Linked DNA regions of Tamandua tetradactyla. The protein of the gene in region 3 interacts with the protein of the main gene of each other region in a pairwise test. Links are inferred from orthologs where the notes say so. Each region holds a gene or a part of one and is shown on either strand. Other genes may lie near its edges. The genes, in order: CCNL2, RAP2B, RUNDC3A and RAP2A.

Region 1 (7,430 bases), on a different chromosome or scaffold from region 3:
GAGGCCACCAGGTGGGATGGTACCCCCTCTCTTGGAATCCTAGATGCTCTTCTGTGAATTGGGGGCTTATGCCTCTCAACTCTGATCCTGGCTCCCCTCAAGGCTGCCTGGACAGCCCATTCAGTACCTGCTTCCCCATTCCATGCGCGCCCCTGCCTCGTGGCGGGTCTTGGCCCTCTTGTCCCCCAGATGACTCCACTCTGACGTGCGGCCTCACCGTAAACCTATCCAGGTTTCTCACCGCGGACTTCCCTCCTCCCCGTGCCCCAAGTTCGTTCTTTCCCTCTGTAGTCCCCTTGCCTTGACCTCTCTCTCCAGCAGAAACCCTGGGACCCAGCTCCCTAGCTGTACGCCAGCCTCAGTTCTCTGCAGCCTCCAACTGGTCCCTAGCCCAGCCCTCCCCACAGCAGGCAAGCTGGCCCTCTTGGTCCTGGCTTTACCCCAGCCGCACATCGCCAGGCAGGGGCTTCTCAGTGACTGACCCTTGGCCCATCTGATGAGGCCATTTAGCATGCAGCATCCTGTTCCATGCCCCAGGGACTCAGATTCATTAAGTCCAGAGTCAGGCCGGAATCTGTTCTCAAGCCCACGGGGCTGATGGGGACAGCCATGTGCCTTCCTCCTGCCTTGCCGCCTGCCCACCGTGCCCACCTCTGATCAGCACGTGCACCTCAGGAGGGGTCCACACCTCTCTCCCCTGGCCAAGATGGAAGCTGGGTCCTTGCTCACCTTCAGGGCCAGGTGCTCCCTCGGGGCCCAAAGCTGGACTCGGTCCTCATGGGGCTCTGGTTCCACCCATCGCCTGTCTTCTCTGGACTTTGAGACCCTCCTGCCCCACTCCGCTCCTGAGTCTGCTTTCCTTTCTTCCGTAGGCCGGCTGCTCAGTTCCACTCTGCCCCTGTGATCACTGGGTCCACTGATCTGCTACGCCTCTGGTGGCGCTCACCACCACCAACAGCCACTTTTTCAACTTTTCTCACTTCTGAGCATCTGTGGGCCCAGAACCTACGCCCTCTGTGGGACTCTGGCTCTCCCTGCAGGCTGGCGTGCAACATGCTTAGGGTTCCTTCTTGCTGCGCCTGCTCAGTCTCCATGTCGTGTTTCTGTTTTCTGGGCTCAATCCTCCACCTGCTTCAGGAAAGCTCTCCATGCTTGTTCTAGTTTGCTAGCTGCTGGAATGCAACACACCAGAGATGGATTAGCTTTTAATAAAAGGGGATGTATTTTGTTAGTTCTTCAGAGGAAAGGCAACTAACTTTCATCTGAGGTTCTTTCTTGGGTGGGAAGGCTCAGGGTGATCTCTGCTGGCCTTTTCTCCAGGCCTCTGGGTTCCAACAACTTTCCCCAGGGTGATTTCTTTTTGCATCTCAAAGGCCTGGGCTGAGTGCTGAGATGAGGTATGCCGAGCTGCTTGGGCTGTGCTACGTTGAGCTTGCTCATTTAAGTACCAGCCAATTAAGTCAAACAGTCATGAGGTTCACGTACCATTGGTTCATGTCCACAGCAACAGAACTAGGTGCCTTCACCTGGCCAAGTTGACAACCAAATCTAACTGCCACAAGGCTCATGGCATTAGCCACTCTCTGCCTGCTGGTGGCTCCCACATCCTTCCCAATGCAGCCCTCCCCTGAGCTCGAGACATGCTTGTCCCACTGCGTCCTGGATACTTGCCCACGGCTCCAGAGGTTCCTAAGCCGAGCGCCCATCTCCCCCCACCCCACATGCTCCACTTGCCTCTTTGCCAGCAGACACCTAGAGTCAGTGTGGGCTTCCCCCTCAGGCTCAATGCCCCCCTCCAACCCACAGGTCCCGAGCAAGTCCTGTCTCTTGATTGCCCACTTTCCTTCATTCCCACTCAAAATCGTCGTCCTTTTCTCCAGCATCACCTCTGGCTTCAACAACTGCGCCGGCCTCCTTAGCACCCTCTGGTCTTTGTCCTGTTTAACAATGGCCTTTGGACCATGAGCACTTGGGGGCCAGGGGCTGCGGCCCCTCCACTGTTGTCCTGCTGCACTGAACAGCAGGGCCATGCTGTGCACACAGGTCACAGTACTCCTCAGTCATCAGCAGATGGCTACTGAACAGGCAACGGGAGCATCAGAGCTCGTTGTGTGGGGTCCAATGATGCGCGCACTGCATGGTAGTGAAGGGGCTGCCTTTTGCTCTGTATCTCGCCTCAATGAAAGGGGGTGTCATAGACCACTACAGGCTGCTCCCAGCACCCACCCCAACCCCTTCCTCCAGCCACAGGGCCCAGCTCTCCCTTTGGTGCAGTTCCGGGGACTGTGGCCCTGTCCCTAGCTCTAGGGCCTGGCCCTGATTAGCTAAGGCCATTAACTCTTCCCACTTTTCTGGCCAATCACTGCCCAGGGGATGGGCAAGCAACTAGGCAAGGATAATCAGAAACATGTTTGCTGGGATTTCCAGAGAACAGGAACTTTTCCTAGAGGGTGCTGCTGTAGCCAGTTTGCCTGCACACAGGAGGATCCTGGTGCTGCCCACCTAGGGAGAGGAGATGTTGGGGCTACGAAAGACGAGGAGAACTGGCTTCTTAGGTAGCAGCATTGGGAGTTGCTGGATCGAGTCTCTCCAGAAGTCAGGGCCCCATCTGGACACTTCAGAGGAGGGAAGCAATGGAGGCCTCTGGGTTTGGGCCGGTTTGAATTGAGGGCAATATCTAAGGCAAGTTTAAGTGCGACAGTCTACCTTCCCCCCAGGCTTCTCAGCCCACCCCCTACCCAGTTCCAACCACCCCACCCCAGGTTGCCCCCCCTCTCAGGCTCCCCACCCCCACCCCCAGGCCAGGGCTCACAACATTACTGGTGAATGTTTAACCGCAACGTGTGCAGTCACGGTTGATGACGACAGCATTTATTCCTCCTGTACAATGAGACCAACAGCCCTGATGCTGAGTGCCTTAAAAACTGCAAAGGAGGCTGGCAGTACTGAACCCAAGGGTGAGAACTAGGCGGGGCCTTCTAGGCACAAGTCTCTCTTTTCAGGAGTAAATGGGAGGTCTGTAAGGTCAAGAGGGGTTCAAAGGCATAAAGCCCCATCAGTGGTCCCCCACTGTTTTGTTTTTGGGTTTTTATTTTTTAACATTTTTTTACTGTGTAGTATAACATACACAAGCAAAAAAAACAAAGCAATAGTTTTCAAAGCACTCTTCAAAAAGTAGTTACAGGACAGATCCCAGCGTTTATCATGGGCTACCATACGAATCTCTCATATTTTTCCTTCTAGCTGCTCCAAAATATAGGAGTCTAGAAGGCTCAAATATTTTTCTATCATCACAATCGACCTTTTTTCTTTTTTTTGTGAAAAATAACATTAAAAAGCTATAAATTTCAAATCACAGCACCACAATTAGTTATAGAACGTATTTCAGAGTTTGACATGGGTTACAATTCCACAATTTTAGGTTTTATTATTATTTTTTTCAATCACATAGTCGCATTGCAAAAGCTGTATCATCATACAATCATCTTCAAGAAACATGGCTACTGGAACACAGCTCTACATTTTCAGGCAGTTCCCTCCAGCCTCTCCATTGCATCTTGAATAACAAGGTGATATCACTTAATGCTTAAGAATAACCTCCAGGATAACCTCTCGGCTCTGTTTGGAATCTCTCAGCCATTGACACTTAGTCTTATTTCTCTCTTCCCCCTTTCCGTGGAGAAGGCCCCCACTGTTATTCAAGTTCAAACTCTCCACGGGGTGCCCGGGGCCCACGAAGTCAGTCATGCTGACCGCTTCAGCCCCTGGCCTTGCTGCCCCGCGCCGGAACCGTCTGATGCCTGCCTTCTCCCGTGGCCAGGGGCTCGGCAGAGGCGCGGGACGCAGTGCTCCCCCTTACCGAGCTCCTCGTCTCGGGCCTGCGGACTGAACTCCGAAGGCCAAGGGCTTGTGGGCTGCAGACGCTGCGCAACTCCTGCGGCCTGAACCTCGGGGTCCGGAAGGGCTGAAACGTGAGCCCACCGCGGCTGCCACGTGCACGGCACGTACCCCTTAAACCACGACCCCTCAGCCTCCTCCGCCGCAGGCAGCCCGCGCCCCGGGACCGGAGCTACGCGCTTCGGGGGCTCCGTGGGATCGCGCGCCGCAGCCGGGAAGGCTCGGCCACGCGGAGAGACGCGCGGCTTCCGGGTCGGCGACGCAGCATTCGCGGCCGCGCCCCGGCGCCGCGCAGCACCTTGGGTAACCAGCCACCCCCGCGCGCGCCGATTCCGGCGCCGGCGTCCGGCGCGGCGCTGACGGGCAGGCCATGCGGCCAATCAGCGGGAGGCGCGACAGGACCTCCGCCGGCCCAGCCAATGGCGCGCGGGAGGCGGGATGGCCGCCGTCGTAGAGCGTCGCGAGGAGCGGCCCTGCCGGGAAGGAGCCGAGGAGAAGTCGGCGGCACAAAATGGCGGCGGCCGCGGCCGGGGTTCCGGGGCCCGCGGCTCCCGCGGCAGCGGCCGGCGCCCCAGGCACGGGAGGCGCAGCCCCCGGGGCGCAGGGGGTGCTGATCGGGGACAGGCTGTACTCCGGGGTGCTCATTACCCTGGAGAACTGCCTCCTGCCTGACGACAAGCTTCGCTTCACGCCGTCCATGTCGAGCGGCCTCGACACCGACACGGAGACCGACCTCCGCGTGGTGGGCTGCGAGCTCATCCAGGCGGCCGGGATCCTGCTCCGCCTGCCGCAGGTGAGTGCGCGGCCGCGGGCGGAGGTAACCGCCCCGCCGGCCCGGCCTTTTGTTGGCGGCCGCGCGGGCTTCGCGCCGGCCCATCCCGCCGGCCTCTTCCCCGGCCCCGGGCCCACCTCCGCCGGCGTCCCGCCCGGGCCCCGCGCCCACTCACGCCGCGCCTCGGGCCTGCCTGCGGAGGGTGGGGGCCGCCAGCCTTCGTGGGTATCAGAGGCTTTGGGTTAATTCCTGGATCCAGAGCCACGCGAAAGCTGGCGATTTCCTTTATGTTGCGAAGCTCCTGAACGTGCGGCTAGAAGTGGTAGAAACCCCTTTTCACTTCTCCAGGTGGCCATGGCTACCGGGCAGGTGCTGTTCCAGCGGTTCTTCTACACCAAGTCCTTCGTGAAGCATTCCATGGAGGTGAGGGCCTGCGCCCGCCGGGGCCCCTTCCCCAGGGGTGCGGAGGCGGAAGCAGGCCTGCGGTGTGTTCCAGGTGTGGGGAGCCTGTTGTGCTCAGAGCCCCGCTCTCCCGGGCAGCCTTTTCCTCTGTGCGGCTCCCCTTTGCTCTTTTTATCTCTTTAAACCTTTATTCTGGCTCTGTGGCTCAATGTAAAATTTTCCATTTTTGTAGCTTTGAAGTACACAGTTGAGTGGTATTAATTACGTTCACGATGGTGGGCTCCCAGCACTGCTTTCGTCGCGCTTCCCAAGTCTTTGGAAGCCATCAGGGTGGGAACAGTCATCCGGATGTTGCAGTGTGTACATTTATTTCAGCATGTGTCAATGGCCTGTGTTCACCTGGCCTCCAAAATAGAAGAGGCCCCAAGACGGATAAGGGATGTCATCAACGTGTTTCATCGGCTCCGGCATCTGAGAGAGAAGAAGTGAGTGTTTTTGTTACAGCTGTGGTGAATGTCTCCTTATATTTGTGGTTTTTGAAGTGCCTTAGGGCTTCTGTAACAAAACTCCTGGTGTGAGGTTTTAAACTTGTGGGTCATTCGTTAATGTATTCCCAAGCACCAGGACAGGGGGTTATGCCCAGGGCTTCTCAACAGGGATTGCTCAATGAACGAAGGGGCTGCTGTGGGCAAGGACAGAGGCCTGTGGCTGTGGTTTTCCTGGTACTGGTGTTTGGGTTGCCCATATCAGTTCATCACCCTCTCGTCTCTGGTCTCCTACATATCTCTGCTCTGGAGCCTCTATACTATGACGTTTTGGACCAAGTTATTCCACTGCAGGGCTGCCCTTTGGATTTTAGGATGTTTAGCAGCATCTCTAGCTGCTGCCCGCTCCAGTGCAGTTGGACTTTGCTGTGCCCTAGAGCGCCATTTATCTATAAGGGAAAGGGGAGGACCATAGCTCAGTGTAGGGGTCTAGGAAGGCTTTGTGATGCTGTCCCTGAAGGTAGTAAAGTCGGCCTCCTCGTGATGTCTGTGTCGTAGCGTTTCTGTCCTCAGTTCTCAGCCTTTGGAGGTAATCATGGGATTTGAAAGACTTCATTTTATTTGACCCTTATGCAGGTCATGTGCTTTGTTTGTCTTTCTAGGAAACCTGTGCCTCTTCTATTGGATCAAGATTATGTTAATTTAAAAAACCAAATCATAAAAGCAGAAAGACGTGTTCTGAAGGAGCTTGGCTTCTGCGTCCACGTGAAGCATCCTCACAAGGTCAGTATAGGCACAGGCCTGGCCACTGGCTGCTGCTGCTCATTTTATTTTCACTGCTAAGCAAGCCTTTAAAGAGAATTGAAATGCATCCTGGACTTGGTTCTCCAGTTTGTGTCTATAATTTCGCAGTAATCTTTTTGTAAATATTACTTCTTAATTTTAAATATTTTTTAAGGGTACTGGAATTGGCTTCTTTTAGTTTTGAGTTGACAGAGACATAGTGGTAAATTTATAAAACATTTTCTTTTTCCACAGTTTGTCTTCTGAAGTTCCATTAGTAATAATCTTTCATTGTCTTATAGAGGAAATGGAAGAATTCTAAGCCTTTTTATTTTGAAATGAACTAAGCCAGTTTTGCAGCAAGTATTAATTAAGGAGCACGACTACTATACTTTTAGTATATTTCAGTTTATTTACAGTGCCACGAATATCTGCTGTGTCATACTTTTTAAAAAATTGCTTTTAAAAAAGATTGCTGTTTGCATCTTTGATTTCATTCCCTTCTCATTGATGGGTGTCCTCATATCTTCTCTTTTACTTGTTTGATTTTTTGTCATTTCAAATTCTTGGTAAACTCTCCAATTTAAGCAGCTTTAAGCGCTTTCTTCACTTTCTGGAGGACTTTCACATGTGTTTTATGTAAGTTGGTGATTGGGATACAGAGATGTTAGGCAGGCAAATCTCACTGGTGGAAAAGGTGTCGAAGACAAGACTGAGAATCTGCTAGATGCTGGCCATGAAACGAGGCCTTCCCTGCCGGGGTGCAGCTCTGTTCTCGTGTGCATGCTTGCTGCCCAGCTGCCAAAGCAGGTAGCAGGTGCGTCAGCAAAAGCTCACTCTCCAGCCGAGCTCCATCCACTGGGCGTGTGACTGGGAAGCCACTCCTGGAATCTAGCTTGAGGCTCTCGTTTGCTGCATGGATGCCCAGAAAGCTGAATTCTTGGCTCTCCAGATTCTTGGTAATAACTGCCTGACCCATATCTTCCAGATAATCGTTATGTACCTTCAGGTGTTAGAGTGTGAGCGTAACCAACACCTGGTCCAGACGTCATGGTGAGTTGATTTTCTTTTGTTTTATGAGACCAGCAAGG
Region 2 (6,687 bases), on a different chromosome or scaffold from region 3:
CTCCAGAGATCAACCAGACATGGACTCTGCCCTCAAAGAATTCACACGGTGCTTAGGATGACAAGACATACACTTGTAAATAATTATGTTACAGGATGCCATAGAGGGGTACACAAAAACTCCTAACAGATTTCATAGGAGGAAGTGACCCTCTTAAAAACCCATGCATCAGCAAAGAAAAATCTGTGTATAAGCAATTTTTATTGCTTCATTCTGGATCCCAAAGCCCCAGTGCAAAATTTTCTGTGGGAGACCATCTGAGTGTAATAAAAATTGCTATTGAAGAATCCTTAATAGAAATTCTAAGGCACGGATCATATTGTTTATTCAAATTGTAGCCTCTTCCATGTCTTGGTGAGGCCACCAAGGTTCAATAATATCCATCTGCATGGTTACCAGTTATTCTGGGTATAGTTTCCTCTTCAGCTTTTTTTTTTTGAGTGCATGGTTTGGGAATCGAAGCCCAATCTCCCACATGAAAGGGGAGCATTCTATCACTGAACCACCCATGCACCCTGCTCTTCAGCTTTTAAAAGCACGTTCCCAACTATTCTCTCATTGGTTGTCAGTTTTTATCACTAAGGACACACTGGCAGCATGGAAAGGGCGGCCAGGATGGCAGGGCTCTAATTCTCACACTCCCATTAATTTGCCCAAGTCATCTATCTACCTGGATCTCAGTTCTCCCCACTAAATGCGGGACAAGGTCAACAGATTTCCTCAAGGAACCTCACCTACCTGGGTGGATAGCGCAACTTTTCATCGCCATTTTATAGATAAGGAAATCAAGCACAGGAGAGTTTAAGGGACTTGCCTAAGGCCCCAGAGATAATGATTAATATCCAATACTTCGGATTAGATACTAGACCTATAAGGAGAAAGCTTTTCTACTTTATCAGACCCAGAACCACACCCAACATTTGTGGGCAAGAGTACAAACAGAGGCCCAGAGCATGAATCTAAATATTTAAGTTATAAATCAAGCTAACAAACTGTTAAAATATAGTCTATTCTCCAACCTTGAGAAATAAATGCCTCTCCCACTATGACAAATAAATACCTCTTCGCAAGGATCTGGAAGGCCAGGTGTGAATTAGGAATTCTCCAGGCTGGAAGGTGGCAGGGAAGGGAACGCTGACCCTAACTGACCCTTATAACTGACAGCAAAAGGAGGCGCCCAAAGGCCTGGGATTACACACCTCAGTCTACAGTCCAAGAACTGTCCAAACCCCAACAAAAAGCCATTCCTGGGACACAGGTGAGTACAGAGGCCTGAGCTAGCCTCGATTGTGAGTTTGTCATCATATGCAGAGGATTCCAGAGATCCAGCTACCTAGATCATGGTTTAGAAGCGCGTTCTCCACGTAGACCATCACCTTGACCAGATGGTCCCTGTTACTTGGGATCGAACAGGTATGATTGCACTGCCTGTTAAATTCAACCTCGGAAAAGAAAATCCGGGAACTTTCTTGTGCTAAGGCAGTACAACCAAACATTAGAGACCAGGCGCTGCAGCCAAACACCTGGGATCTTAGCTCATCCACTCCCTAGCTAGGCAATCTCAGGTAAGTTACTAAACATCTCATGGTCTCAGTTGCCTCAACTTTAAGACAGGTGTAATAATCATTATTATGAAGTGAAAATGAGATGGTAGGTGCGTGGAGATGCTGGAGAAACGTTGCTGGGTTCTCTACAGCTGTGTTAGGCGAATTTGTCTCAGAAAGGCTTTTCTGGAGAATTATATAAGAATAAGTATATCCAAGCCCTCTAATAGGGACGGTGCAATTCCTCTCTCCACTAAATAGAGGAGCCAGGCGTAGGGGTCGACACCATCCAGCCGGCCCGAGACAGAAGCTGTTGCCCACTTCCCACTTGGTCCTGCGCCCAAGCACTTTACCAGCTTGCAGACTCCTGTTAGGAGTTACAGCCAGAGGTCTTGAGTTAACTCGCAAAAGTGGCTGTGAGTCACGACGGGACTAGGAACTGAAACCAAGTATTGGCATCTGCAGTTTATGCTGGTTCATCCCTCCAATGCTGAAGGTTAAACCAGTGGGAAGTGGCATCGATTTAAAAAGGTAAGCCACCGAGTCAGGGTTGACGCTGCTCGGTCCCGTCCCCACCCCCTCCACCCTCGGGCTCACGCTGCCTTCAATGTCTTCAGACAGGTCTCGACATCTCTCCTCTCGGAGGAAGGAGAGAGACACGGATCAAGTCGAGGCATCTCCCTCGCACCTCCCGTGAGTGTGAGCCGAGCCAAGCCTAGCGATTGTCCATCTGGAAAGCGAAGACGTTTTTCAAGAAGCAAGCCTGGGCATTCCCCCCACCCACTCCAGGCGAACCTAATTCCAAGTGGCCCATTTCTTCACCCTTGCTCCTGTCCCGTCCCTGCAAAAAAACTTGGTGTCCAAGAACTATAATCAGTCCTTTCTGACTTACTCGCCTAAGGGACAGTCGTGACTGGGCACCGAGAAGCCAGACTCGCTCGAAAACACCAACAAAGGACTATATTTAGTTCTGAGCTCTCCGCCTAAATTCCTCTATTTTTTTTTTCACTCTCAGCTTCAAAACGACTGGGTTGGGGAAGTGGGAGGAAGGGGGCGGGGGAGCCGCGGAGAAAGAACAGCTGTGCCTCCGCCTCCCAACTCAATCTCTATAAATAACCAATCACAAGCGGAGGCTACTTTTTAGCCAATGAAGCACCCCAAACTGATAAAATCTTGGCGGCAGCCAATGGGAGAAAATTTGGGGGTGTGAGACCTGCGCCCCGGGACCAATGGGTACCGAATTCTGGAAGAGGTAATTTGAGCCGGAGTGTGGGCGTGTGATGCAAAAGCTTCCCACTTTCAGGACCCAAAATCTGCTCGGCCGACTGAGCATGCCCAGAGCGGCAGGGAGCATCGCCGCGACTTCTGGATTGGGATGTATTTCGGGTTTCCGGGTTTTGGTCACAGCCGAGAAGGAGGTGGGTGGGACCCGTCAAGTCCCTGCTGGGAGAGAGTAGGGGTCCAGAGAGTACTATCCAATTCCCGCCCCCCCCACCCCAACCTTTCCTCGTCGGAACAGTTTCTCAGCCCAGTTTTCCCGTTTCCTTTGTCCAGGAGATAAAGTGTGGGAAGGGTCAGCTAGAGAAGGTGGAGCTGCGTTTTTACGCGCGCCTCCCATGCGTTCCACCGCACCAAAACGCCCTTTGGGTCTCCGAACCTGAGACTCAAATCCGCCGGGGCTTGAGGCGTGGAGTCCGTGGGCCCCTGAAAACCCCGGAGTTTGCAAAACCCCAGACACCCCACCCCGGGGCGGCCCACGCGCTTTCTGTAGATGCACCGCTCTTGTACACAAACCCCAGAGCGGTACAAAAAAGTTGCCCCATTTTCCCGTTTGAGCCGACCCCCACCTCATCCTCTCCCACTTGATCCAGACGCACAAATGCACGCATTTCGAGTTTAGTTACCAGCCGCGCGCCGCTCCCAAATCCGCTCCTCCTAGACTTAAATCGCGAGCCCCGCCCTCCGCCCGGTCCCTCCCAGGCCTCGCGGAAAACCCGGAACTGTGACTCGGATGGGCGCGGGCGGTGGCGCACTGGGCATGCTCGCCCGGGCGGGGAGGGCCGGGCTGCGCGCGGCGAGTAGGAAGCCCTCGCCCCGCGGAGGCAGCGAGGGAGAGCGCGATGGGCCGCAGCGGTGGGCACACGCTCCGCGGGGACTCATGCCACGCGCGTCCGCGGCCGGCGCTCAATTAGCAGCCGCCTCCGCAGCTCGCCGCCGCCGCCACCTCCTCCCCGCCCTCCCGGGCTGCAGCGGCGAAGAGCTCCAGCCGTCGCCGCGCACAGGCTGCTGGCATTGTCCTCCCGGTGCGCCGCCCGGCCGGGCTGCTGCTGCGGGTTACTGCGGGGCCCTGGACCCGCGCCCCTGGGACGCGTCGCCGCCGCCGCCGCGGGTCGGCCGGGCGCCCGGCCCCGGCTTTGTGATAACTGCGTCCTGCACTCCCCGGCCACTCTCTCCTGGTTTTTTCCTGCGGACCCGAAGAAGGGGAGAAGTCCGGCCGCCAAGCCCAACCTTCCCCAGGCTCGCAGCCCCGACGGGGCCGCGGCAGGAGCGGCGAGAGCGCTGACGGAGCCATGAGAGAGTACAAAGTGGTGGTGCTGGGCTCGGGCGGCGTGGGCAAGTCCGCGCTCACCGTGCAGTTCGTGACGGGTTCCTTCATCGAGAAGTACGACCCGACCATCGAGGACTTCTACCGCAAGGAGATTGAGGTGGACTCGTCGCCGTCGGTGCTGGAGATTCTGGACACTGCGGGCACGGAGCAGTTCGCCTCCATGCGGGACCTGTACATCAAGAACGGCCAGGGCTTCATCCTCGTCTACAGCCTCGTCAACCAGCAGAGCTTCCAGGACATCAAGCCCATGCGGGACCAGATCATCCGCGTGAAGCGGTACGAGCGCGTGCCCATGATCCTGGTGGGCAACAAGGTGGACCTGGAGGGCGAGCGCGAGGTCTCTTACGGGGAGGGCAAGGCCCTGGCCGAGGAGTGGAGCTGCCCCTTCATGGAGACGTCGGCCAAAAACAAAGCCTCGGTGGACGAGCTGTTCGCCGAGATCGTGCGGCAGATGAACTACGCGGCTCAGCCCAACGGCGACGAGGGCTGCTGCTCGGCCTGCGTGATCCTCTGAGGCGCCGGCGGCCGCTGTGCGCCGGCCGCGCTCTGCGCACAAAAGCCAAAAGCACCCGACTCTCTTAAATGTGATTTCTCTTCTTGCTTTGAGATTGGAGACGACTTTGCATTGGCGGAGATGGCGCGGGAGCCCGACCGGCCTCCGCTGCCGACGTCCCCTGCCTCCTCCCCGAGGTGGCGGGGGTGACCCGTCCTGACCATCCGAAACCCTGTTGGAAATGTGGCTCTTTGCAGCATGTACGTTTCTCATTGATTTTGATTGACGCATATTTCCCCGTTTAAGTAGCCGTTAGGGCGCTGTATTGGCGGCTTGACACCCGGCAAGCAAAAGTTTCGGCCTGGAAAAAAAAAATTAGGGGTTGGGGTGGGGGGAAAGAAGGGAAGAAGAGGGGGCGAATGGAGGAAAGAGAGGTCTTTCTTTTTTTTCTTTTTTGGCAACAACCGTTTTTGTAGTTCCAAGTTTTAAATACATGGAAGGAAGTCCGGGAGAACCAAGTGAAGGAGCAGAAAGAGAGAAGAAACTTTTGCTTTTTTTTTTTTCCTTGTTTTCCAGGAGTAGGTGGAAATTAAGATGGGGTTCCTTTTCTGCCAGCTTGGAAGGGCAATCCCGTGACTGATTGCGATTCTAAGGATGTCTATGCAAAGTTGGATTCTTGTTACAGTGTATCCAATCTGAAGTATTGCACATCTGAACTGGGACTGTTAACTCTGATGCCAATACGGTGTGGGGGTGCCAGAAAGTGTCTGCTGATATTTGTGGAAAAAAAAAATTATATTTTGTTTACCTACTGTATTAAAGGGGAGTCTGGGGGAGAATGGTAGTTTTGTTTTTTTGTTTTTTTTTAAATCAGCTGTGAAAAAAATGTTACAGATCTGCACATTTTTTTGTGTAATATTGTGTGTTTATTTTTAAGTTTAGTTTTTTTTTTTTTTTGGTTGGCAGTAACAGATTTTGATGACTAACTCTTTAAAATACAGTACAAAGACTTCCTAAATGTGATTCAGGGCCCCCAGCACCCCTGTGTCTGCAGAGTGCCTTCCAAACTCAGCTGTTCCAGCCGGTGCCAACCTGTGAACTTCCCACCATATTCTAGAATCTTGATATTCCCCAAACCCCTTCCCAGTTTCCTTTCAGTAATCTGCCTGAACAAGCCAAGACAATAGGGCCTGCTGTTCAGTGAATTTCTTCATTATTTCCAGACTTTCAAATGTAATTTCCATGTCTTGCAATGTTTGGGTTTTTTGTTTTTGTCATTTCTTGCTTCATTTTGTTCAATTTTTAAGATATTTAGCTCCCCTTTTATATTGTTTTATAATTTTTTTTTTGTTTTTTGTTTTTTTTGGTTTTCTGTTATAAGGTGTTCCTACGGAAGCAAAGAGCAAAATTGTACTGTTGTGCTGTATCAAGAGAATTCTAACTGTAATTTTTAATTCCAGACATGCGTTTAATCATTGTCTCTTCATTTTAAGACTTTTAATACAAATGTCATTTTTAAAGAAAAACTCAAAACTATTTGTGTTTCTGTGTTTCATATTCAGTGAGTTAATACAGTTATCATGGGTGAGGTGGATTGGGCCAGGTGCATGATGCCTTGAGATATTTATCAAATTTTGAAGACAAGCATCTCACTTATGGGTTGAGTGACTGCCCCAAATTCCTAAAATACAAGAGAATCAAAAGCTGTGGGGTATGCTGTATCATCAGAGTACAGGATGGGCCCATATACTGAATCTGTTATGCTGACATGGAAGCAGGGAAGGGGAAAAGCTAATTGCTGAAAATGCCTTAGATTTGGGAAAGTAATCCTTCATCTGGCATGGCTGGGTGATCCTCATTAATTTATTATTCTTGTCTTGTTTTTCTTGTTGTTTAAGTTATGTCCCATCAAGTCAAAAGCGTCTTTGGGGGGCAGATGGTTTTCATTTTTGAAGTCTCATTTGGTAGTGTCTTCTGCAGTGCTTTTGTCATATGGATTGTAGACGGTGTCCAACTTTTTTGAGGTTTTGATTTGAAAAACA
Region 3 (6,964 bases):
TATGCAGGCTGCTTAGAACTGTCACCCCCCCCCCAAGGTATATAAGCCCTTACAGTGTGGCAAGCATTATATTTACATGTATTATCTCATCCAATGCTTACAGCAGCCCTGGGAAGTAGAGTCTCTTATCATCATCATCATCATCTCAACTTTATAGATGAGGAAACTGAGACTCCAAAAGGTTGATCTGTTCGGGGTCATGCATCTAGCCTGGGGAGGGGTCAAGCAGGTGTGGCTGATTCCAAAGCCCTTGCTCTTTTTGCTCCCTCCTGGAGCCTGCTGGGGACTGTCATGATCACCAAGGCCCTGTGCAGCCACAGCCTCTGTGGCCCTCATGCTGCAAGGCTCTAGCCCTCGAGTATTGGCTTCTGAAGCCCTCAGGCCAATGGTCCAGCTGAACCCACAGAACCTTCCCTTTCCTTTTGGGCTGAGAGTTGGTCTGGCCTGAGATCAGAGCCAGGTAAGGGTGGAGCTGCACTAGAGAAGGCCTGGTGGATTCAAATACTGCTTTTTTTGTAATACTATGTGACCTTGGACAAGCCACTTAATCTCTCTGAAGCCAATTTTCCCATTGTAAACAGGAATAATAGCGCCTGCTTCATTAAATATTGGTTTGCATCCCCGACAGGACTGGGAGAAGGTAAATGTGTGCAGGCCAAGAGGAGCTGGACCATTAGTGGGGAGGCTGTCCCTGTTGAGCAGGAGCCTGCGTTTAAGGCATTAGCTGGACTTCATTATCCAACCCGCCTCCTCCAGTTTCTTCTGGTCATCTGGGTCAAGCCTCGGTGGAGGCCAGGGGCTGGGTTCAGTGTGGCAGCCATCTGCCATCTGCCCGTAGGGGTGCTGCAGAGTGTTTCTTGCCCCTGGGAGCCCCGTGGTGTGCTCTGGGTTAGGAGATGCGGTGCCTGCTGAGGGTTACCATGGTGATGGGAAGGCCTGGGCCCAGGGGAATGCATGGCCTGTTACATGTTCTGGGAGCCGGAGGCGACCGTGTGATGGCAGTGAGGCAGCAGGAGCCTGAGGGGTTTCTGAGTCTTTATCAAGCCTGTTCCGCCCAAACCGTACAGCTTACTCCTGTGCTCTAAGACCACCTCCAGACCACCAGAACCTCTGCGTCTCCAGCCCAGGCTAGGGGGAGTTTCCCTGTTCCCATACGCACTCGAGAGCTACAGCTATCTTGACAGGCAAGAGAAAGAAGAAGGACCTGGGAGTACAGAGTGAGGAGAAAGTTGAGAGGGCTGTCATCAGATCAGGGCTGCATTCTGTCACAGTCATTCTCTGGGGTGGCTGTTATACCCACCCGTGTACCAGGCATGGGGATAAGGCACTCAAGGCCCAGAGTGGTTAGGATAGTTCACCAAGGCTGCACAGCTAATACATGATGATATAAGGGCGTGAACCGAGGACCATTGGCCCCAAGGGCAGGAGTCTTCATTTTAGAGCACATTGGCAGGGTTGGAGGTGGTGGTGTGTGAGGGTAGAGGCAGTGGCCTGAACTTTGGGCCAGGCCATAGCTGCACTCCCTCCCTCCATAACATTCAAGGTGTTTTTATGGATGGTCTGATTTGCCCAGCACTGTGCTGGGCACTAAGGATGTGATGGTGTGAGATAGATGCAGAATGGTTGAGTGTGTGCTCAGAAACCTTGAGGGAGCTGTAGGGGCCAGGGGCCAGGGCACCAGTGTGCAGGCGGCTAGGGCTGGCAGCTGAGCCCTGCATGTGGGACCATCTGCCCTGAGAGGGCCTACTCCCCAATGCCTGGGAGCAGGACGGCAGGAGAGGTTGCAGGTGGAGAAGGCAGCTGGCATGGGGACCCTCGAGGGAGAGGCAAGTATTGGTGGGGGATGCAGGGAGTTTGTCTGGGTGGCTGGGCACGTCCTGCCTCCAGGGAAAGATGGGGAGGGTGAGTCACTGCAGGATTGAAGTGGGAAAGACCACTTCCTGGGCCCCAAGAAGGCAGGCAAATCTCCCTAACACTGCGACAGCCCCACCCTCAGGGCCATCTAGAGACCGATGGCCCTGTCCCCTTTCTCCTTCCCTCGAGCCCAGGGGACACAGGCTTCTGTAGCTGGGCCCTTGGTCCTTCCCTTGGTAGGGACAGCAGCTCTAACCCTTCACTGGATGGATTTGGGGGCTTTGCCCACATTTCCAAGCGACTCTGCTACAGGCTGCAGCTGCCCAGAGATAGAGGAGGGCACAGAGTCCCTGCTCCAGGATTTGTGGATAGCAAAGTCCCAAGACAATGCTCCACCGCAGGGAGACCAGGCTCTGGGCATTTATGCCCCTTCAGTTCTCCTCTGCCCACCTCACAAACCCCCCACCCCGACCCGACCCCAGCAACGGAGCCAGCCAGGCCCCCCTCCCCCTCACACACAATGTCACTTCCTGGTTCTCGCAGGAAGCTGCAATGCCAATAAAACACCCCCTCCCCCTCAGGCCCTTGGCCAAGAAGGGTAGGTAGCAGACTTCCAAACCCCCTCCCCATTCTGGACCTGCGAGGGGCTGTGGCAATCTTTTTAACCCTTTGATCCCCTTCCTTTCCACTCGGCTGCGGTGCCTGCTCCCGCGGGCACGCTCAGTCCGGGTTTCCGCAGCCCGCCCCAAGCCAGCTCCCGGAGCGCCCCACCCCCCGCCCGCCAACGGCGCCCACCTGCACACGGTGATCAGGTTCCTACGCTCCACGGCCACGTTGCGGGAGGACGCTTTCTTGGAGGACAACCCTAGAGCCATGGTGGTCTGGACAAAGCTCGCTTCCATCCAGATGTGCGGCTACTGCTGCCGCCACCCGCTGCCCCCCACCCCGCCCGGTGCCCCGGCTCCCCCGCCGGCTCACGGCTGGGGCCTCTGCCCGCCGGGGCCCCTCGACCCCTCGACGGTCATCTCCCAGCCTCAGCGCCCGGCGCCCGGCCCCTTCGTTCCCTCCCCCGGCGGTGACACCAGAGCAAAACAAGGCCGGGGAGGGAGCTCTCCGAGGTGCTGAGCCGGGGCCTGTCACCCCCTCCCCCAGCCGCCCGGCCCCCCCGCTGGTGACGTCAGGACCCCCGGGCCCCGCCCCGCGGCAAGCAGGGGACCAATCCGCCGAGGACGCAGGGTTTGGTGGTGAAAGGGGAAGGGCCGAGGCCCCAGGGATGTCGGAGGGGGTCCCCTGGAGAGGCAGGGATTGGAGAGAGGAAGGGGGGACCACTGGCTGTCCCCCGCCCCCACATTCAGAGCCCGGGACTCCTCGTCCCGCGTCTGTGAGCTCCGACACCTCTACTCTAAGCTTCTGACCAGAAATTGTTAGTGTCTGTCCCTGATTTCTCCCCCTGCTGTCTGGGGAATGGAGGTCCTCACCTCCGGTAACCCCACTCTAGCGCCGCCCCCACCCCATCGCCCCTTTCAGCATCGGCCTTCTGAGACCAGGGCACTGGCTGCATCCGAGAGTTCAGGTGGCTGACCCTGGAGGCTAGGGAACGATCAGAGGGACTGCGTGTCGTTTTGTCCCTCTACTCGTGCTTGATTTGTCGGTCTGCCTTGTGGAGCCAACTACTCCAATGGTGGGGGATGGGAATCCAGAACCGCTCAGGACTGTCCCGAGGCTCTGGGGATGTTCCCAGCACTGTGGGGCCACAGCAGCTGGAGGGAGTGGCAGTTAAGGCACGGCTTTCCCTCAGACCTACCCCCTCACACAACCCGAGTCAGCAGCGCTAAGGGTTAACCCTTTGACTGCCAACATTGTTGCAGGATGCTGTCAACCCACTCTAAATGGAGTCACTGATCCCGGTGCAAGGCCACCAGGGCCCTGCAAAGCTGGTTGCAGCTTTTCCAAGTAGGTGGGGAAATGGAGCATAGTCTTGCTTCCCTGCTACCCTTTGCCTCTCTATTAGTCTCCCACATCCTGCTTCCAGCTGCTCCATTTCTCTATTTCTCTATTCAATCTGCCTAAGGTAAGGCAGCCGGTTCCTCTTTCGGGCACTGGAATGGGCAGCTACCAAACAAAGCCTTTCTAGGCTGATCGGAGGGGCTGCACCCCTTCTCTCCATCCAACCTCTGGGACTTCCATCCCAGGGCTCAGCTCATTAACCAGCTCTTGCCACCCACCTAATTCACATTCCTGCTTCTATTCTGCTAATCTATAGCCAGAGTCTCTGCGTTGATTTAGATGCTCACCCAGCAGACAGCAATTCTGTTACCACCAACAAAGGAGGAGAAGGAAATGAAGGACTTAGAAGCTCCCAACCCTTGTTTGGCTCCCTGAGAGCTAGGGAGAGGGTTCTGACTCCTAGCAAGGGAGTCAGAATTCTTGAGTTCTTGGACCTAAGACTTGGTCTTTTTAGTTCCTCCTCTTGCCTCACCTCTCTCTAGAAGCCCTTCTAATCATCCAGCCTCCAGCCCATAGCTAGCGGCAGCATTGATGTTCTTTTGTTTTATTAAATTGCAAAATATATCATATGCATAAAAGCAAATAAAGTATGAACAGTTTAAAGAATATTTACAAAACAAACATCTGTGTAACCCCCTCTCAGGTCAGGAAAATGAACACTATCTGCCCTGGGAGCTCCCTTGTGCCTCTTTCATATCTCATCTTCATCTGTTCCCTCAAGAGGCAAATGCTATGCTGACAATTGTGATAATCATTTATTTCATTGCTTTTCTTTATAGTTTTCTTATCTATGTAGGTTAATGTGGCCAGCTTTACAATTTTATAGTAATAGAGCCATATTGTATGAATTTTGTAATTTTGCATATCAAATAGAGTCTAGTTACAAAAATAGAAACCACATTAAAAATTTCAAATAGAGGGCCATGGTGGCTCAGTGGCAGAGTTCTCACTTGCCATGCTGGAGACCCAGGTTCGATTCCCGGTGCCTGCCCGTGCAAAAAAAAAAAAAGAAAGAAATTTCAAATAGACAGGATAAAGTATGGGGAAAGGAGTTGGAGGACGAAAAGAGCAAAAAAGAGAGAGAGAACACAGAGACATCCCAAACTAGTAATTGAAGGGAGCAGCGAGGGCTGAGGGAACAAAAGGGAAGAGATGAGGTCACAGCAATCTCGGAGCTTGGTGGAGGGATGCTGTTGAGTTGGCGCTCAGACTCTGGGCCAGGCCACCCTGCTGCGGCTCATTCCTTTGAGGAGCAGCTACAGGGCTGGTTCTCGGAATGTAGAAGAAGCTGAAGACTGGAGGCGACTTCCGATGAGCGAATGACAGGAATATGAGCAAGAAAAAATGGGAAGTCCCTTCCCCCTTCCTCCTGCCTTCCAGTCACTCCCTCGTGCCTCCTGTTAGCAGAACCAACTAGAAGGCCAGCTAGCCGTGGCATCTGGGAAACCAGTTTGAAGCATCTGATGTTCCACCCCGCATCAGAAAGCAGAGAAAAGAAGAATGAAGTTGGAGCTGAATGGTAATAAGTAAGTAACCGGCACAGTCCACCCCCTGTCTACTCAGCACCCATACCCACCTTTCTACCCGTATTTGGACAATAGCAACTTCGTGACCCTGCCTAACAATGTAGCGTGTCCTTCACTCAAACGAAGATGCTCTTCCCCCTTCTTTAAAAAAAGAGATGCAAAGTCCCAATAGTAACGGTATCCATCTCTGGGTGACAATAATATCCTCATCTGAGGCAAATGGCTCACACGTTGATGCTGACCCTGACTCCTCTCAATGACAAGGGTCAAGTCTCATCAGGGACCCAGTGGAAAAGAATCACCCCAGCTATGGGGGGAAAGGAATTATTATACTTGGGGGTGGATCTTGAGGGTGTTGGACTGGGATCAGGGGGTGGGATAGAAGGCTGGATTAGGGAGAGTTTACTGATCTGAGGGTGTTATGGTTTGAAGCATGTGTACCCCAGAAAACATCTTATTTTTAATGCAGTTTCATTGAGATATATTCACATACCATGTAATCATCCAAAGTACACAATCAGTGGTTCACAGCATCATCATATAGTTGTGCATTCATCCCCACAATTTTTCAACATTTTCATTACTCCCCCAAAATAAAAATAAAAGAGCCCCCCAAAACATCCTATGCCCCTTATCCCCCCCTATTATTTATTTATTATACTTATTTTTTTTCTTATCTGTCCGTACACTGGATAAAGGGAGTGTCAGCCACAAGGTTTTCACAATCACACAGTCACATTGTAAAAGCTATATAGATATATACAAACATCTTCACGCATCAGGGCTGCTGCAACACGGTCAACAGTTTCAGATATTTCCTTCTAGCTATAATAATCCACTAAAAACTAAAAAGGGATATCTGTGTAATACTTAAGAATAACCTCCAGGATGACCTCTTGACTCTATTTGAAACCTTTCAACCACTGAAACTTTATTTTGTTTCATTTCTCTTTTCCCTTTTGGCCAAGAAAGCGTTCTCAATCCCACATTGCTGAGTTCAGACTCATCCTGGGAGTCATGTCCCATGCTGCCAGGGAGATTTACACCCCTGGGAGTCATGTCCCATGTAGAGGGGAGGGCAGCAAATTTACCTGCCAAATTGACTTCAAGAGAGAGGCCACATCTGAACAACAAGAAAGGTTCTCTACTTAATTATGAGTAGGCTTATCTTCTCCTTTGCAGGAATAAGTTTCATAAGGGCAAACCCCAAGATTGAGGGCTCGGCCTATTAAATTGGTAGTCCCCCATGCTTGTGAGAACATCAGGAACTCCCAAGTGGGGAAGTTAAATATTTCCACATTTTTCCTGTCCCTCAAGGGGGCTTTGCAACTACTTCTTTATTCTCTGCCCAGATTACTCTGGGATGTGTCGGGACATAACACTAACCTGTACAAACCAACAAGATCACATTCCTTATTCAAAGTTCCATGTAATTATGGCGTTCAAATAAACTGACCGTACAAGTTAAATTAGATAGTGTGCTACAGAAAATATAAATTTTGCACCAAATAAACATCTCTCCCTTTGGTCTCACACAGAAGTTGAAGTTTTAAAACATGGTCACTATCATCCTTTAT
Region 4 (7,109 bases), on a different chromosome or scaffold from region 3:
AGGGCCTACTGTTCCACACAGATTTAAACCTCTTCTCTACCACTGAATGGTCTTGACTAAGATACCAAATCTCTCTGCACTTCAGTTAATCCTGCATTATGGACATACCAAATTTCACAAAACAACTTTACATGTGTATATTATATTTAAAGCAGCTACCAGACACACAAGAGGCAGAGGGGAGAGAATAATTATTGGATAACTCCAACAATATCTGGTTAATTTATAAATTGGTCCCCAAAGCAGCTGAAAATGCATTTACTTGAAAACCATGTTTTATTCACTTAAAGTGGTAGGAAGAATCAGAGAACAAGTACATTGAGTCCCTGCTTTAACATAATATATGCATTATACATGTATATTAAATTGCATATAATAAACATAGATCCTATCTCCCTTTCAATTTTAATTTATTTATAATATGCTATATAGGTTGGGAAGCCAGATGATGAGGTTAGGGTAGGATAAAATAACAGGTCATAGATGTAAGGGTCCAAGTATTGGGGATAAAATAGTTGAATTCCAGTGAAAAGAGTTTACGAACACTATTTTGGCTGGTCATTGTCTTTTTAAGTTACAAACTGAAACGAATGGGTAAAACAACATCCAGATAAGTAGGATTTTACTCTAATTTTGTTTTCCCTGGGCCACAAAGCAAGAAAATGTTCTAGAACACCAGTTTTAAACTAACATTTATTATATACAGAGAAAAGTAATTTGTACTAAAGATAATAAACTACAAAATTTTGTGAACTATACTATCCAATGATATCTTGCATACCATATTCTCTCCCCTAGGCTTGTGTCACGAAGTTTACCCTGAGTATGTGACTTTTTGAATGTATGTACGCATCCTTATGTTTATATTTAAATGTGAAGGATGGGGCAGTTGGGGCATTTATTTATATTATTATTTGATGTATGTATTTGGCTAAAGACTGTCATGTGGCAATGTATTAGACTACCATGTTCTGTAGATTTTTTTTTTAATTCAGTGATGTTGGGGGTAGAGAGAAATTTAGCATTTGAGTCTCTTGAATGCAGACCCTTAAATGTCATATACATACTCAGTTTAATACCAAAATTGCCATCTGTTAACCATCAACAAACAATTTAAGTAAATAAGACTGTAGAAATAAAAAGTAAGTAAGACTGTTGAAGTAAAAAGCTAATCAAATTAATAGATCTTAAAAGAGCAAGAGGGCGTGAAAATATTTACTTTATTCTTGCTGTAAATTTAACTCAAGAAATAACATACAAAATTTTAGTTTAGCTATTAAAGTATATACCCAATCAGTTAAGGGAGCCAGGGGGAGAGGGCCTCTCCTTGGACCTCATATGTTGCATTAAAAAACCGCCATCAGGAAAGTATTTTTGAGCATCCCCTGAGTACACATGACTCGGTCATTACTTTTTAAAAATTAGTAGATTCAAATAGGTTTATAATAAGATTGTGTTTATGGTAAACTTAAAGCTGTCTTTTCACTGTACCTCTTCAAATTTATGGCTACAGTAGATGAGGTAGGGAAAAAAAGTGACACTAAATCTGCAAAATTACCAGCAAAGAAGAAGTAATAACAACCAGAGAAAGCAGTAATGTGAATTAAATAGAAACTAGAAAAAAACTGCTAAAACTCTGAAGATATTACATTTCAAAGGCTTAAAATTATAGGGAAAAAAAAGTATTCAATCAACTTTAGAGAAACCCAGCAGTTTCAACCATTTAAGCTAATAGCCATATTTCCAAAATGCATACTTCAGAAAAGTGTTTTTATTAAGAAAGGCCTTATTTGCCTTAACTTTTAAATTAGCTAATACTTGGGTCACACATGTGAAGAAGCAGCTTGTATTTCATTTCCAGGCAAGACTTTTTTTTTTTTGAGGGGGGAAGTCAGCTAGATTAAAAAAAAAAAAAAAGGAATAAAAAACCATTTCCCTAAACAGTTAAACTGCATTCCTTTTAACTAGTAAATAGCATACTTGTGCAGCTGTATGCTAGAACTCTTCCAATTCCACTGAATCGTTATGTCTTCAAATAATACGTAAATCTGTCTTTAAAGTTTGCCACTAAATTAGAGTTCATTCTCTAAAAGGCTTTTGCACCATTACACCTATTATGAGATGAGAAAGGTCTCTTTGCTCTTCACTTGACATTTTTACAGATATGTATGTGCAATTCCTGCTGTCAAATATTGCAAAAGTAGACTTCTTGTGGTTCAGTTTGAAAATGTCTCGCCTATCCTGTACAGCTTCCCTCTTTCCAGCACAAACCTACCCACCTCTTTTCCCCCTGCAAGTTTTAAACTTTGTTTCCCTTGATGTTCTGTACGAGCGCTACTAACCTTATTCAAGAGACAAAGAGCTGTGCCTTGGGTTAACCGGATGGCCAATTTTAAGTTCTGAAACAAAGCGCTAAAATTTGAGATGCAAAATAATAATGATGACAATAACGCATAAAACCTCAGAGCCATCTCCCTAGACAGCTCCCCCTACACATGGACACACGCGGGGGATTTCTGACCGTGGGACAATGACTCGCGAGTCCAGCTGCGAAGCCTCCCGTGACCCTTTGGGGGCCGCCCGGGCGGGACCCCAGCTCGGCTCAGAAGGGGCTCCCGCGGCCGCGCCCGCCCGGCTCACTCACCGCTTCACTCGGATGATCTGGTCCCGCATGGGCTTGATGTCCTGGAAGCTCTGCTGGTTGACGAGGCTGTAGACGAGGATGAAGCCCTGGCCGTTCTTGATGTACAGGTCCCGCATGGACGCGAACTGCTCGGTGCCCGCCGTGTCCAGGATCTCCAGCACCGACGGCGACGAGTCCACCTCGATCTCCTTGCGGTAGAAGTCCTCGATGGTGGGGTCGTATTTCTCGATGAAGGTGCCGGTCACGAACTGCACGGTCAGGGCGGATTTGCCTACCCCGCCCGAGCCCAGCACCACCACTTTGTACTCGCGCATCGTCTCTCTGCTGCCGCTGCTATTGCTGCCACCGCCGCCGCCGCCCGCGACATAGACCTACGCCCGCCGCGCTGCACCCCCGGACCCTGCCCCGGCGGCTGGCCCCGCCGCCTCCCACGGCCGCCCCCACCTCACGGCCGCGGCGGTTCCCCGGGCGGCGGCGGCGGCGGCGGCGGCGGCGGCGGCAGCTGAGGGAGCGGCGGCCCTGGGCATGGGCCAAGCCGGACGGCAACGCGACCCCGCGGGCGCCGGGAGGAACAGAGGGCGAGCTGAGAGCAGGAGCCACGGGAGCTGCCGAACCGCGGGCCCGCAGTGCCGCCCGCCCCGCCCCTCGCGCCTCCACGCCCAGCTCCCCGCCCGCCGCCGCCGCCGCCGCCTCCCCAGGCGCTAGAGCGCGCGCCCGAGCCCCAGCCGCAGCGCCTACCGGGGGCGGGGCCCGGCAGTCCAGGGCGGGGCGGGGCCGGGCCGCAAATCCCCGCCTCCTCCCCTCAGTCGTCTAGGCGACCAGCCTCGCGCCTCCGGGGAGGCTCTGGGCTGCGTGGAAGCTTCTGCCCGCGGCTAAGCAAACCACCACCCAGGCCACTCAGCAACACCCTACCACGGCACCCCATCGAACACCAAGGCCTGTGTACTGAGCATGCCCAGTCCGTCTGCCTGAGACAGAAAAAGCGTCAACCAGAGAATCCCACTCTCAAATTACTGGGGAGACAAGATATTGGAAGAGCCATACCATCTTCGAGGCTTTACCTTGAGGCAGGAAAGTGACAGGACGAGATGGGCAAGAGTCTGAGGAGCCCTTTGGTTGAGGGGCTTTGCCTGACATCACTCTGTCACTGTCTTTGACTTTATATTGTATAAGCATAACGAGATGGCGCTTTGTTTTACGTGACAGGAACCTCCAGCCTTCTGCCTGAGGTTGTATAAACATAACGAATAGAAGCCTTGTTTTAAGCGTAAGTACACTGAGGTATAGGTGACAAGTATCTTCAATCCACTCCCCGATGGGCTAATCAGCCGCCGCTAGGCACCACCGAAGCCGGGTCCACGCCCGGTGACGTCGTCGCGTGCTCCACCCACCTTCCCTCTAGTCCCGCCCTTTCATGGTGCGGGACTGAAGTCGAGCTCTTCCCACGCCCTGTCAGCTACCGGCGTCTGAAAAACCTGGAGAGCGGAACCCCGTGCAATAGCCAGGAGGACCAGGGATACGTCTTAGCAACAGCCAGCTGGAACATCTAGGAGGCTGGATTCATTCCAGCCAACCAGACCACGTCTCTAGGACCCATGGTACCGCTCACAGCCAATAGAGAGCTGCCTGATACCATGTGATGGACCTTCTTCAGCCAATGGGGGAAAAACATTCGTCTCGGCGTCAGCCAACCCACCCCTCGAAGTCTCGCCGGGCTGGGCGTTTGCTCCTGCGCACTGTCTGCCAACCAATAGTAGTGAACTGCTGAGTGACCTGGGCTTGGATTGCGCCAACCAGAACAAGCGACACATTAACCACCGAGGGCCGGTAGTATGGAGACAAGGCTTGGGGCTGGTGTGGTTTGGGAGTGGTCAAAGATCCAGGGGCTGGGCGCCGTGCCTCATTCTGGCAAAGGAATGAGGTTTGTTGCAGGCGAGAGGGGTGAATTCCGCTTTTAACATAGCCTCGGTGGCAGTCTGCTTAAATGCTGGGCATGGAAATGGTTCTCAGGGATGTGGGATGGGTCGGGAAAACAGACTTTTGTCTTTAGGGTGAGAAATTTTCGGGTTATTAAGAAGGCATAACGAAGCAGTTACATTGGTGCTCTATACGTACCTTTTAGAACATCTGTGTAATACTTCCTGTCTCTAGCATTAAAGCTTATTTACACTCCCTGCCCTAGCCATGACTTCAAATTTAGAAGGAGTTAAATCCCCAAACATTCTTGGATTATTTTTGTATAACTTGCTATTGGGTTTCCCTTCCTTAAATTATGTCTTTCTCGAACTAATCTACACTTACGCATTACTGTCTCTCACATCTCTTGAGAATAATGAATTCTATAATTCTAATGTTTGATCTGGCAGATCTCTCCACCGATTTCTCTCCCCTACAAGGTCATCATATAAATATTTTGGTCCGAGCGTCTCTAAAAATCAGACGTTCTCTTACCACATTTTGTCAATTAATAAACTACCAGAAAGATGTATCTTGATTTCGCAGCCTCCTACTGCCCTACTACTCTATTGTTTGGAATGGATAATTTGTATTTTTGCATTATCTTGCTATAGAATCACACACCAAGTTTTTGTTTAAAACAATTAAGGGCAGGTGTGCTTTCGAATAAGTAATGTACAATAAAGCGTAACTCAGTCATTATTTCTTGATTACATGGCATCAAGATATGAGTTTATATCTGAGCCATCACAATCAGCAAAAATAGGGTCAAAAAGCATCGAAGTTTCTTTGTATAGATAATTACAACCCATGTAAAACTTTGTATTACGGTGGAACCGAAAATCCATTCACTGTGCAAGAAAAAGAGGTTCGGTGGCTTGAGAAATTTGCATTGGGATTGTGGGTTCAGAATGTAACCACAGCAAACAAACATATTCATTACTCCTAGGTTTCCAGAGAGTTGGATATTTCTGGATTGGAGCTCATCAGATAGAAGTTGTCACAAAAGTTAGTGACTAGGTTCCCTATTTTTCCACTTCGCACAACAGAGAGTAGGAGAGCTTTTTTTTTTTTTTTTTTTTTTGGCATTTCCCTGGTTATTTCTCCTGATCATTCATCAGTGCTGATTTTCTTGAAAAGGAGATGTGTAACGGTTGTGGTTTTTGGATAGTCACAGTTTATTTGTTTCTCAAATAGACTAACCTCAATTTCACTCTCAGTGTCATGGAGGTAGATTTTTAACCACTGAGAGATGAAAGAAAATGACAGATATATTTTCAGCATATTTTCTCACCTGTTCTGCTGTGGATAATGATACTGATTTGTGACTGTATGTGCAATGTTGGTTGAAGGGTTAGCTGCTGAAAGGGTGTTTAGAGAATTTTGCTGATATGGGTGGGAGATGAGTGTCTATCTCCTGTTCTCTTAATTATGTTCATTGTTATGCCAATATAATCTATTCTGAGGGTGATTTTAGAAATAAAAACATTTTCATTCATTGTTTGTGAGAAAGATAGCATATAATTGAGAGAAGACAAAATTGAAATTTCCCTAAGAGTTGTAAATCTATGTAATAGTGAAAACTTAACACTGTACACTGATACTGCAGGGTCTCTTCAGTTTCTGAAGTGAATTGCCAAGGGGCAAAACAAAAACAAACAAACAAAAAAACAACTTCATTTCTCCTCTCCCACTGAGTGTGAAAGAGCACTCACCTCTGCCCAAATACCAGCAATTGTCACATTTGTGTTACCATGGAAACCCAGCTCCTTTCTTTCCTTCTGTGAAATATGTTAGAAAAGGTGGAATTATGTGGGAAATACACTGTGTTCTGGGACTTCCTGATGCTGGCAAGGAGCAAATATGGAAATAATTTAGTATAAACAAGTTGTACAGTATGTGTGTAATGTGACCATTACTTCCTGGCTAATAAAACCTTGATTCCTATCACTTTTATTGAAGTGTGCATGTCTCTGACTATCCATAAAGGGGAAGGACAAGTCAAGTACATTTAACGCCTGTGAAATGCTGCTGGAAATTGTAAAGAGAGCAGAAGATATTTTCTTAATACTGTTGAGAAATATAACAGTGGAAAGAAAGGAGCAGGGTAAACTTGTTCCGCTTTTGAAAATGTGGTAAGTTTCAGTGATTTTGAAGACAAAAATAATTACAACACAAATTGAGCATACAAGCCAGTCAGTGAAAGAAACCACTTAAATGTTTTAAAAGAATAATTTTAAGAAGAAAAAATTTCCGAGAGAGAAGGATAGATGATTAAAACATAGGGAAAAGACAGACTTCTTAAGAACTTGAGGGTTCTGAGAAAACAAGAGATTTAATGTGGAGCATTTAATGTGGCAGAAGTGTGGCTGCAATGTTGCTTGCATATCCTGCTGTTTCCTTTTCATCTTGCCAAAAGACCCAGAAATGAGTTGGGATTGGTCTTCAATACCAGTACTCTCCCCTCTGCCCATGCTTAGTTCAGAAGGAGGCACATGACTCAGTTCTT

What was found.
Region 1: the proteins of RUNDC3A (region 3) and CCNL2 interact in binary tests that used the Homo sapiens proteins (3 or more experiments, as listed by UniProt). The two-hybrid records come from large-scale screens. The link is inferred for Tamandua tetradactyla from reciprocal best matches to the Homo sapiens genes RUNDC3A and CCNL2.
Region 2: the proteins of RUNDC3A (region 3) and RAP2B interact in binary tests that used the Homo sapiens proteins (3 or more experiments, as listed by UniProt). The two-hybrid records come from large-scale screens. The link is inferred for Tamandua tetradactyla from reciprocal best matches to the Homo sapiens genes RUNDC3A and RAP2B.
Region 4: the proteins of RUNDC3A (region 3) and RAP2A interact in binary tests that used the Homo sapiens proteins (3 or more experiments, as listed by UniProt). The link is inferred for Tamandua tetradactyla from reciprocal best matches to the Homo sapiens genes RUNDC3A and RAP2A.

What each region holds. Positions count from the first base shown.
Region 1 is NC_135328.1:223,487,682-223,495,111, forward strand, and holds the start of CCNL2 (cyclin-L2), read left to right. Parts: upstream 1-4,408; coding exon 4,409-4,690; intron 4,691-5,017; coding exon 5,018-5,092; intron 5,093-5,446; coding exon 5,447-5,556; intron 5,557-6,218; coding exon 6,219-6,339; intron 6,340-7,327; coding exon 7,328-7,392; intron 7,393-7,430. UniProt on the Homo sapiens protein: Involved in pre-mRNA splicing. May induce cell death, possibly by acting on the transcription and RNA processing of apoptosis-related factors.
Region 2 is NC_135331.1:47,937,478-47,944,164, forward strand, and holds RAP2B (ras-related protein Rap-2b), read left to right. Parts: upstream 1-3,934; 5' UTR 3,935-4,114; coding exon 4,115-4,666; 3' UTR 4,667-6,178; downstream 6,179-6,687. UniProt on the Homo sapiens protein: Small GTP-binding protein which cycles between a GDP-bound inactive and a GTP-bound active form. Involved in EGFR and CHRM3 signaling pathways through stimulation of PLCE1.
Region 3 is NC_135332.1:23,158,533-23,165,496, forward strand, and holds the start of RUNDC3A (RUN domain-containing protein 3A), read right to left. Parts: upstream 3,012-6,964; 5' UTR 2,757-3,011; coding exon 2,650-2,756; intron 1-2,649. UniProt on the Homo sapiens protein: May act as an effector of RAP2A in neuronal cells.
Region 4 is NC_135330.1:166,207,186-166,214,294, reverse strand, and holds the start of RAP2A (ras-related protein Rap-2a), read right to left. Parts: upstream 3,019-7,109; 5' UTR 2,959-3,018; coding exon 2,645-2,958; intron 2,413-2,644; coding exon of another isoform or gene 2,217-2,412; exon of another isoform or gene 1,995-2,216; intron 1-1,994. UniProt on the Homo sapiens protein: Small GTP-binding protein which cycles between a GDP-bound inactive and a GTP-bound active form. In its active form interacts with and regulates several effectors including MAP4K4, MINK1 and TNIK.